Linked DNA regions of Ovis aries. The protein of the gene in region 2 interacts with the protein of the main gene of each other region in a pairwise test. Links are inferred from orthologs where the notes say so. Each region holds a gene or a part of one and is shown on either strand. Other genes may lie near its edges.

Region 1 (3,747 bases), on a different chromosome or scaffold from region 2:
ACACACACACACACACTGTTTTAGAGAAAATCTGTAAGAAGATTTAGAGCTAGAAGACAGTAAGTAGCTGATGATTAAACTCAGTAAGTTTGCTGAGATTATACTCAGTACATATCTGATGATTAAACGATCAGGTTGCAATGAAAACATTTTATAATTCCGTTTTAATGGAATTATAGCAATTTTCTCTTTGATGCTTATAGGTGGACAGTGCTATCTATTTCTGTTTGTAACTAGAACTCTCTGCGCTTCCTAGTACGGGAGATCGGTCACCCTCCAAATCTGAATTACGTAGTGTAAGAGCCAATCGGAGCGCTCTCTGGAGCAGCTCCGGACAGGCCTCTCAGGGAAGACTGGCGGAAGATGGGACTTTGATGCCATCATGCAATCGGACAAAGAAGGCCTCAATAGTTTAGGGCGGTCGAAAATTTCATCTGGGGTGCTGCGCAAAGTGTTAAACCTTGGCGGGACTGATTAAAACCAGAAAGTCTCTCAATCGGAAAACCTGGACGCACCGCAGAGTCCTTATTTTCTGGGACCGTGCAGAAATGGTCAGCACTTGCGCCGCTACCAGTGACCAAAATGGCCGCAAAGCGCTTCGGGCGCGGAATCAGGTGATGCAGCCCCAGTCCGCTCTTTCCCACCAGCCGCTCCTCCCGCTCCACGTAGCGGTGGGTGTGGCCTGCCCTGAGGCTCTTCTCGGAGGCAGGGAAAACCTAGGGATTACACATGCGCAGTTAAGGCCCCTCAGGCCCTTCGGACCCCTTCCCCGCCCCCCGCCCCTCCCACCTCCCCGCCCCGAATTGCCGGGCGGGGCTGGGCCGAGAGTCCAGCAGCTGTGGCTGGGGCTTCAGTGACTTCCTTGTTATGAGCCTCGCCTTGGCAGTGTCCGGACTCTTAGCCCCGCTGTCCTTACCGGGATAGTCCGAGTCTAGATCGCAGCCGCAACCCTAGCGGGTCGGTTCCCCTTTCAGCACAGGTCCTTTCCCCTCACGCCCCGAGCTCCCTAACATGCCCAACCCCAGCAGCACCTCCTCTCCCTACCCCCTCCCCGAGGAAATTAAGAACCTGTTGGCAGGTAAAAAGCGGGAAGGGGGCGGGTAATGTGGCGGGGGCGGGGGCGCGGGGACGGCGAGCCGGCGGGGACAGAAGCATTCGGAGTCTCTACCCTCCCTCCTGGCTCTCTGCACGCCTCCTGCCCAGTGGGAACGGGACTGGGAGTGGGGAAGTGGGATGTGAGAATGGGAGTGGGCGTGTGTGTGGAAATTTGGTGCGAGGATGGTAGGGAAGCCCTTCTTGGTGGGCTTTACTAATGCGATCAGGGTATCGTGAAGATTGTGTGTGTGTGTGCGCGCGCGCGATCAGGGTACCTTGAAGACTGTGTGTGTGTGTCACAGAGAGATGAGGAAGGAGAGAGGTCAAAGAACTAGTTCTTTGGTCCCTTGGCCGATGGAAGAGAAAGAGATTTCTGAGCTACAGAGGTTAGGAGTTAGGGGTTATGGGACCACAGGGTTTGTCATTTCTAAAACTCCCATTTTCTTGAACATTCAGCCCACCCATATTTGAGACTTTAAAAGGGGGCCTGACTCTCAAATGACCACTTGTCTTCAGCCTGAGTAACGTGTTACAACACAAAAGGAAGGATGTGTTAAAGTCCAGCTTCCTGTGACGATGAATGTACAGTATTTCGTATTTGCACCCCCATCTTCCCCTTTTCAGTCTTGAGTGACCGTTTGTAGGAACTTAGGAATTAAAGATGCATTCTTCAAGGCTGTTACAAATCCACTGCTACTTCGTTATCTAATATGGGAGATGTATATTTTCGCTAGGGGCCAATAAAAACATATATTTCTGCACAACGTAGAAAATAAATCCTTTTCTGGGGTAGCAAAAATTTTACCTATCCTGATGCTCTGAAATTCTTCCCGTTATTCACTTTGTCATGTGTACATCAGAATTCTGAATATTGAATTTTGATCTAAAATTTTTAGTTTAAGTATCTTTCAATATTGGTCATGAAAAAGTGGGTTAAAAGTTTCTCTTAGATGCCTATGATACAATTTGCTTATTTTAACTCTTAAAGCAATATTTAAAATGTGGCATTATATGTAGTTACTGTTAGAGCACTGTGAGACTAAATCTCTTAATATGCTGTTAGAGAAAATAAAATTAACAGTGTATGAATGCAGACATGTTTTGTGAACATGATTTCAGTGTTACGATGACTGCATTTGTTGTGGGGTAGTGATTTACTCTAAGAAATGCTTGTTAATGGGTACCATTGTGGGATATACTGAAAGAACCTTAGGGACTGAGTCAAGGCAGCTTTTATTCCATTCTATGAGAGTTTCAAGTGAGTGCTGATTTTATTTTAAGACAGTTAACATGTTTGTTGTTACCATGCTGGGATTCCTTGCTTAGAATATTATTTTACCAGGTTAGAGAACTGTTTATCATAACTCTAAAGAGAGAAGTCACCATTTTCAGGATATTTTAGGTCTGAATTTTTGAGTTTAAGAAGTAAAGCATAGACCCCCTGGATACATGCTTTTAAAGCTTGACAGCTCCACAGTAGACAGTTTGTAATCTGGATCCACAGGCGTAATTTGCAGATAGTATGATATATAGGTTATGAGACTCTATTTTCTGATCCCCATGGATTACAAGTATTTCATGTAGCCCTTACTTGTGTAATTTAATTGAAAGCTCAGGATTAAATAATACTTAAGTTATCTGCCATTGCTAACTTCATATATACTTTAGCCATTTCTCTGCTCTGTAGTCAGATAATACATAATATCTGAAATTAGCATTTCAAAAATAATCTTGACATTTTCAGTATCTCACATTATTGAAGTAAATCACATATTAAAACATGAAATATTAAGAACAACTATTAAAACATTAAACTTCTAGTAGTGACAAACTTGGCTTATACTGTATTTTCAAGAGGTATGGCTATGAGGAAATATAAGTATCTATAATGAGATATACTTTAAAGAAATGAAACAAGTGAACCAATGTTTTCCAGTTTTCTTTTTAAACTAGCCATTTGAAGAAAAGTAGTTAATGTTTTATGGCTGACTAATTAAAATATTTTTTTTTGTAGAGAAGTTTTAAAGAATAAGTGAGATCAGCAGTTTTATTCACATTTCGTTTTACTCAAGTGTTTGACTAATGGGGTATGGTTAGATTTAAAACTATTAAAACTATAGGAGAAGAGTTGGCATTGGTTTGAATTTTAAAGATATTGCTGGCTCTCCTGGTTCGTTCTTTGAAACTAAGGACATGTTGGCAGTGGTGGTTGTAGTTAACAGTCGAGTGCTCTTAGAATGAATGGCACTATGTTAGAATTCCAAGGCAGGAAAGATAAAGAACTAACTTTTCAAGCATTTAAAATCCCTTCAGAAAGAAAGAATCAAAGCAAAAGATATGCCTATCAAAAAAAGTGTTTGGATAGCTCCCATTATGTTCTATGTTCCCTTTATCCAAATTGTTATGTCACTCAGATGTATTGAATGTTTGACATTTCAACTGCTTGATGGAGGTAGGTATCAAATGTATTCTTATCAATTTATTATTTTCTCTCTTTTATTTTTCCTTCTGATTATAGGAGTTTTAGTCTTTCTTTTCAATGTTTGTTCCTCCTCCTTCCTATTCCTTTCCTTAAAAAATGCTGTAGAAATGCAAAAATCCATAGAGGTTATCATTCTTAGCTCACATTTGATGATGCACTTTAGAAAGTGG
Region 2 (3,747 bases):
TTGCCAAAATCATTAAGAAGAATGAATCTGAGCATGCCTTAGAGTAGAACTTTCAGTAAACAGGAATTACCTATAAAGAAAATCAGGAAGCTGAAGTGTTTGCTTTTTTTTTAATGAAGTTACATCCTGCCATAGAAATGCTGGATAGGAAATAAAGACTGATGCACTCCCAGTTGTATATTAAACCAGCTATTATTTCATCAAGGAAAATCTGAGCAAAAGCTCAGATTTAGAGAAGGAAAAAAACCACGGGAAGGCTGAATTCATGAGAAAACAAAGACAACCAATGGCTACAATTGAACATGCTTTTGGAAAAAGCTATACAAACAAACACCCACTCTGTGATTGCAGATTCCATAGTAGTCGCTTGCCCTCTCCACCCCTTACTCGTATTTCCCTAATACTTCCTGCAGACTTTGCTTATATATATATACATATATCAGAAGACTATCAGTTCATTCTAATTTATTCCGTTTTATCCCCTTCCTTTTCTTCCTCCCCCTCCTTATAATTACTGATAATATTAACCGCGCGTTTCCAGGTTTCTCTTTTTTCCAGGTTTCTGTGATGGGATTCTCCCTTGCTCCGCACTCTTCGGTTTGATCAGAGAAAACAATTTAATCATCCTAACAGTTTCCCAATTTATCCTCCCACCTTCAAATTAAAAGACAACAGAAAGGAAAGATAGCCCTTTCTCAAGGCAGGTTCCCATGGTTTTGAGGGAATGGCAGATGCCTTTCTGCAGTAGCGGCTGCAACCTTCTCCAAAGCAGAAACTGAAGCTCACACTCTCCTCTTCTTTCCTTACCCTAACCCACTACCTCAAGTCCACGTAAACCTTAAAAAACACACACGCACAACTCCTCCAATCTAGTATCCCCTCTCACACCCTTACACCACAAGCACGCCAGGATGCCCAATGCCACCGGAACGCTCTGCCCACTCGGTGGCCCCACCCATCGCCGCCCCGCCCCCGCTTCAACCACCAATGGTCGCCGCCCGCTGCTCCCGAGGGGCTCGTTGATTGGACAGTGGAGCCTGCCACTCTCGCGGGGCCTCCCGCCCTCCCTCACTCCCCGCTGGGGCTGGAGGGGCTGGAGCATCAGCGCGAGTAGCTCGGAGCAGCCGCGGCAGCGGCGGCGCGTCGTTGCAGTTGCGCCATCTGTCAGGAGCGGAGCCGGCGGGGAGGGGGCTGCCGCGGGAGAGGAGGAGGGGTCGCCGCGAGCCGAAGGCCGCCGAGACCCGCCCGCCAACCGGCCGAGGGAGCAGAAGAGAGGCTGCCCTCGGAGCCGCGCGTCCATCACCGCCCGGGCGCGCGGCGCTTCACCCCGCGCACCGAGGGCTCCCCAGGCGCACACAAAGCCGCCGCCCGCGCCTGGGAGGGATCCAGTCGCCGGGCCGGGGACACCCGGCGCCGCCCCCTGGGCACTCTCAGAAGGCCCACCGGCTCCCGGGCCCGCCGAGCAACCACCGGAGCCGCTTCGGCCGCGCCGGAGGAGGCGGGGAGTGGACCATGTGAATGGGCTCCGGAGCCTGAGCGCAGCGCAGGTAAGCGGCCGGGGATGCGCCGCGGGGCCGCGGGGATGCTGCGGAGATGCGGGCCGCGGGCGCCGAGCGCAGCGCCGCCCCCGCCGCGGGGCCCGGCGCTGCAGTCTCTTGGCCATCGTTGCCTCTGGGGCTCCCCGCGGGGCTGCCAGGGAGTTGGCCTTGCTTGGAGTCTTGCTGTGGTCGCTCCGGAGGACACCTCTGCGGGCTGCAGCCCCGAGGTAGCGCAGGGCTGGGGGGTCCATTTCCTCAGGGTGTGAATAGGGATTGGCTTGGGGGGTGGCTAGGCCGGCCCAGACTCCGCCTCCGCCCTCTTTTCGGGGCCCCCCGCGGGGACCCGGGCTGTGTGTGTTGTTTTAATGTCAGGGATGATGTAATCACTTAATAATTGATGCCCCGTGCTGCTTCCCTCCCCACCCCACTCCACCCCTGCCCCACTCCTCCACCTCTCGGCCTCCTCCTCCTGTGGCCGTCGCCTTTCCCATCGCATCCTCCAGCTTATTTCTGGCACCTCCCTTGCACTTCCCCCATCCTCCCCTCGACTCTTCCTGTGCCACCACCCACCCTTCCCCAGTCCCCCGTGCTGGAGCCTTAGCTCCTCTTCCTCTGACCCCTCCAACCCTCCTGCTCCCTCAGGCTCCTTTCTCCTTCCTTCTCAGCTCTCTGGATTTCCTCTCTACTTCCCTAGATCGATGACTGTTTTTGTTTGGTCGCCTCCCCTCTCTTATCTCTGCGGCCACAGGCGGAGGGGACTGAGCCAGAAAGAGGCCACCAGGCTTGGGCCTCGGCGGAGATTTGCTGGGACTGAGTGAGAAGAGGGATAATAAAATCACCCTTCTCGCCCCTCCTCCCACCAATAAATCACACAGACTCGCGGGGTGTGTGTGTGTATGTGTGTGTGTGACACAAAGAGCCCTTTCAGTGCACAGAGAGGAGACGCATAAAGTGCCCAAGGGTGGGCGCGATGCTTCTTGTTTCTCTTCCCTGGGGCTTCCCTTTTGCTCAGATAAAGCAGTTGATCTTCTCTCTGAGAGTCTTTCCTGCCACATTTACCAAAAAATAAAAGGCCCCAGATGCAGGGTGGCAGGTGCTGCCGTTTTGCTGTATTCATGGACCGGTAGTGTTGACTGGCGGCTGCAGTACTTCTTAGATTGAAGGGGGAATTGATTTCAGCTGTCTGAAGAGTTGCTTTACTCTCAGGGTAGCACCCTCCCTTGCCCAGTTTTAACTCCCTTTCATGGTAGGGGGTAGGATACATGGGTGTGGGAGAGGGAGAATTTTGTTTCCAAAAGAGAGTTATATTGATGTTTGCTAGGAGTGAGGCAGCCTAACTTGCTTCTCTCAAGTCTAAGGAGGACTGAAGTCATTTGAAATGAAGTCTTGTCCACCCAGTGATGGTTGTTTCACCCTTGTATTTAAAGAAGCTCCTGGGGACATTGCTAACACAGCAGTAAGTCGGTATTTGGAAGACTACTGGGGACTGTGTCTCTCTTGCCTGCTTCAGGGTACCCTTCAGACAGCCACTTCCTTCCTCTCACCGCCAAGCCACTGCCGTACTTTCCACCCTTTGTGCTCTTTCTCCCAAGTCCCTGCCCCTCTGCCCCTCGGGTCCTGTGCTTTCAGACAAGGGACTGATTTTTGGAGGAAGTGGTTTTGTTAATTGTCTCAGGTGTTGGAGGCACTTAGCTATGAGCGAAGAAGGTAGAGAATCTTTTGCCTGATCTCTTAAACCATCTGCTTGATGTTCCTCTTAAAAAGGAAATGTAAATGTAAATCTGGGGGCTTAATGTTCCATTCTGTAAGCCAGTGACTGTTACATGCTTAATCAATAATGTCAAAACTTAGGTCGAACCCATTGATTCCTAAGAGCATGGCTCTTTGACTGTTATAAGTAATAGAACTGTCTCAAGTTCTTCAAGAATTTTATTAGAGAAGAATTGTTATGGTTCATTAAACATTTACTCCTGCACTTTCTAAGGACATTCATCTTGGAACATTTTATATTTTAAAAAAAGCAAAAGGGTTAATGAGGGTAGTGTTCAAAACAAAAAAACAAAGCCTTGTTTGTTTGGCCAAACCCAGGAAAGAAAGTGCACAATAAGCTCACCCTCTGTTGACCGAGTTCAAGAGAGTGGTGAGGTTGAATGTGAACAAATGCATATTCTGCTTTCTGTACTTTTATTCTCTGCTTTCTCCTGGGTCT

Evidence for each region.
Region 1: the proteins of FYN (region 2) and SKAP2 interact in a two-hybrid assay, tested with the Homo sapiens proteins (2 studies listed by BioGRID and IntAct, with this or other methods). The link is inferred for Ovis aries from reciprocal best matches to the Homo sapiens genes FYN and SKAP2.

What each region holds. Positions count from the first base shown.
Region 1 is NC_056057.1:70,716,456-70,720,202, forward strand, and holds the start of SKAP2 (src kinase-associated phosphoprotein 2), read left to right. Parts: upstream 1-852; 5' UTR 853-1,011; coding exon 1,012-1,078; intron 1,079-3,747. UniProt on the Homo sapiens protein: May be involved in B-cell and macrophage adhesion processes. In B-cells, may act by coupling the B-cell receptor (BCR) to integrin activation. May play a role in src signaling pathway.
Region 2 is NC_056061.1:25,879,653-25,883,399, forward strand, and holds the start of FYN (tyrosine-protein kinase Fyn), read left to right. Parts: upstream 1-1,095; 5' UTR 1,096-1,547; intron 1,548-3,747. UniProt on the Homo sapiens protein: Non-receptor tyrosine-protein kinase that plays a role in many biological processes including regulation of cell growth and survival, cell adhesion, integrin-mediated signaling, cytoskeletal remodeling, cell motility, immune response and axon guidance.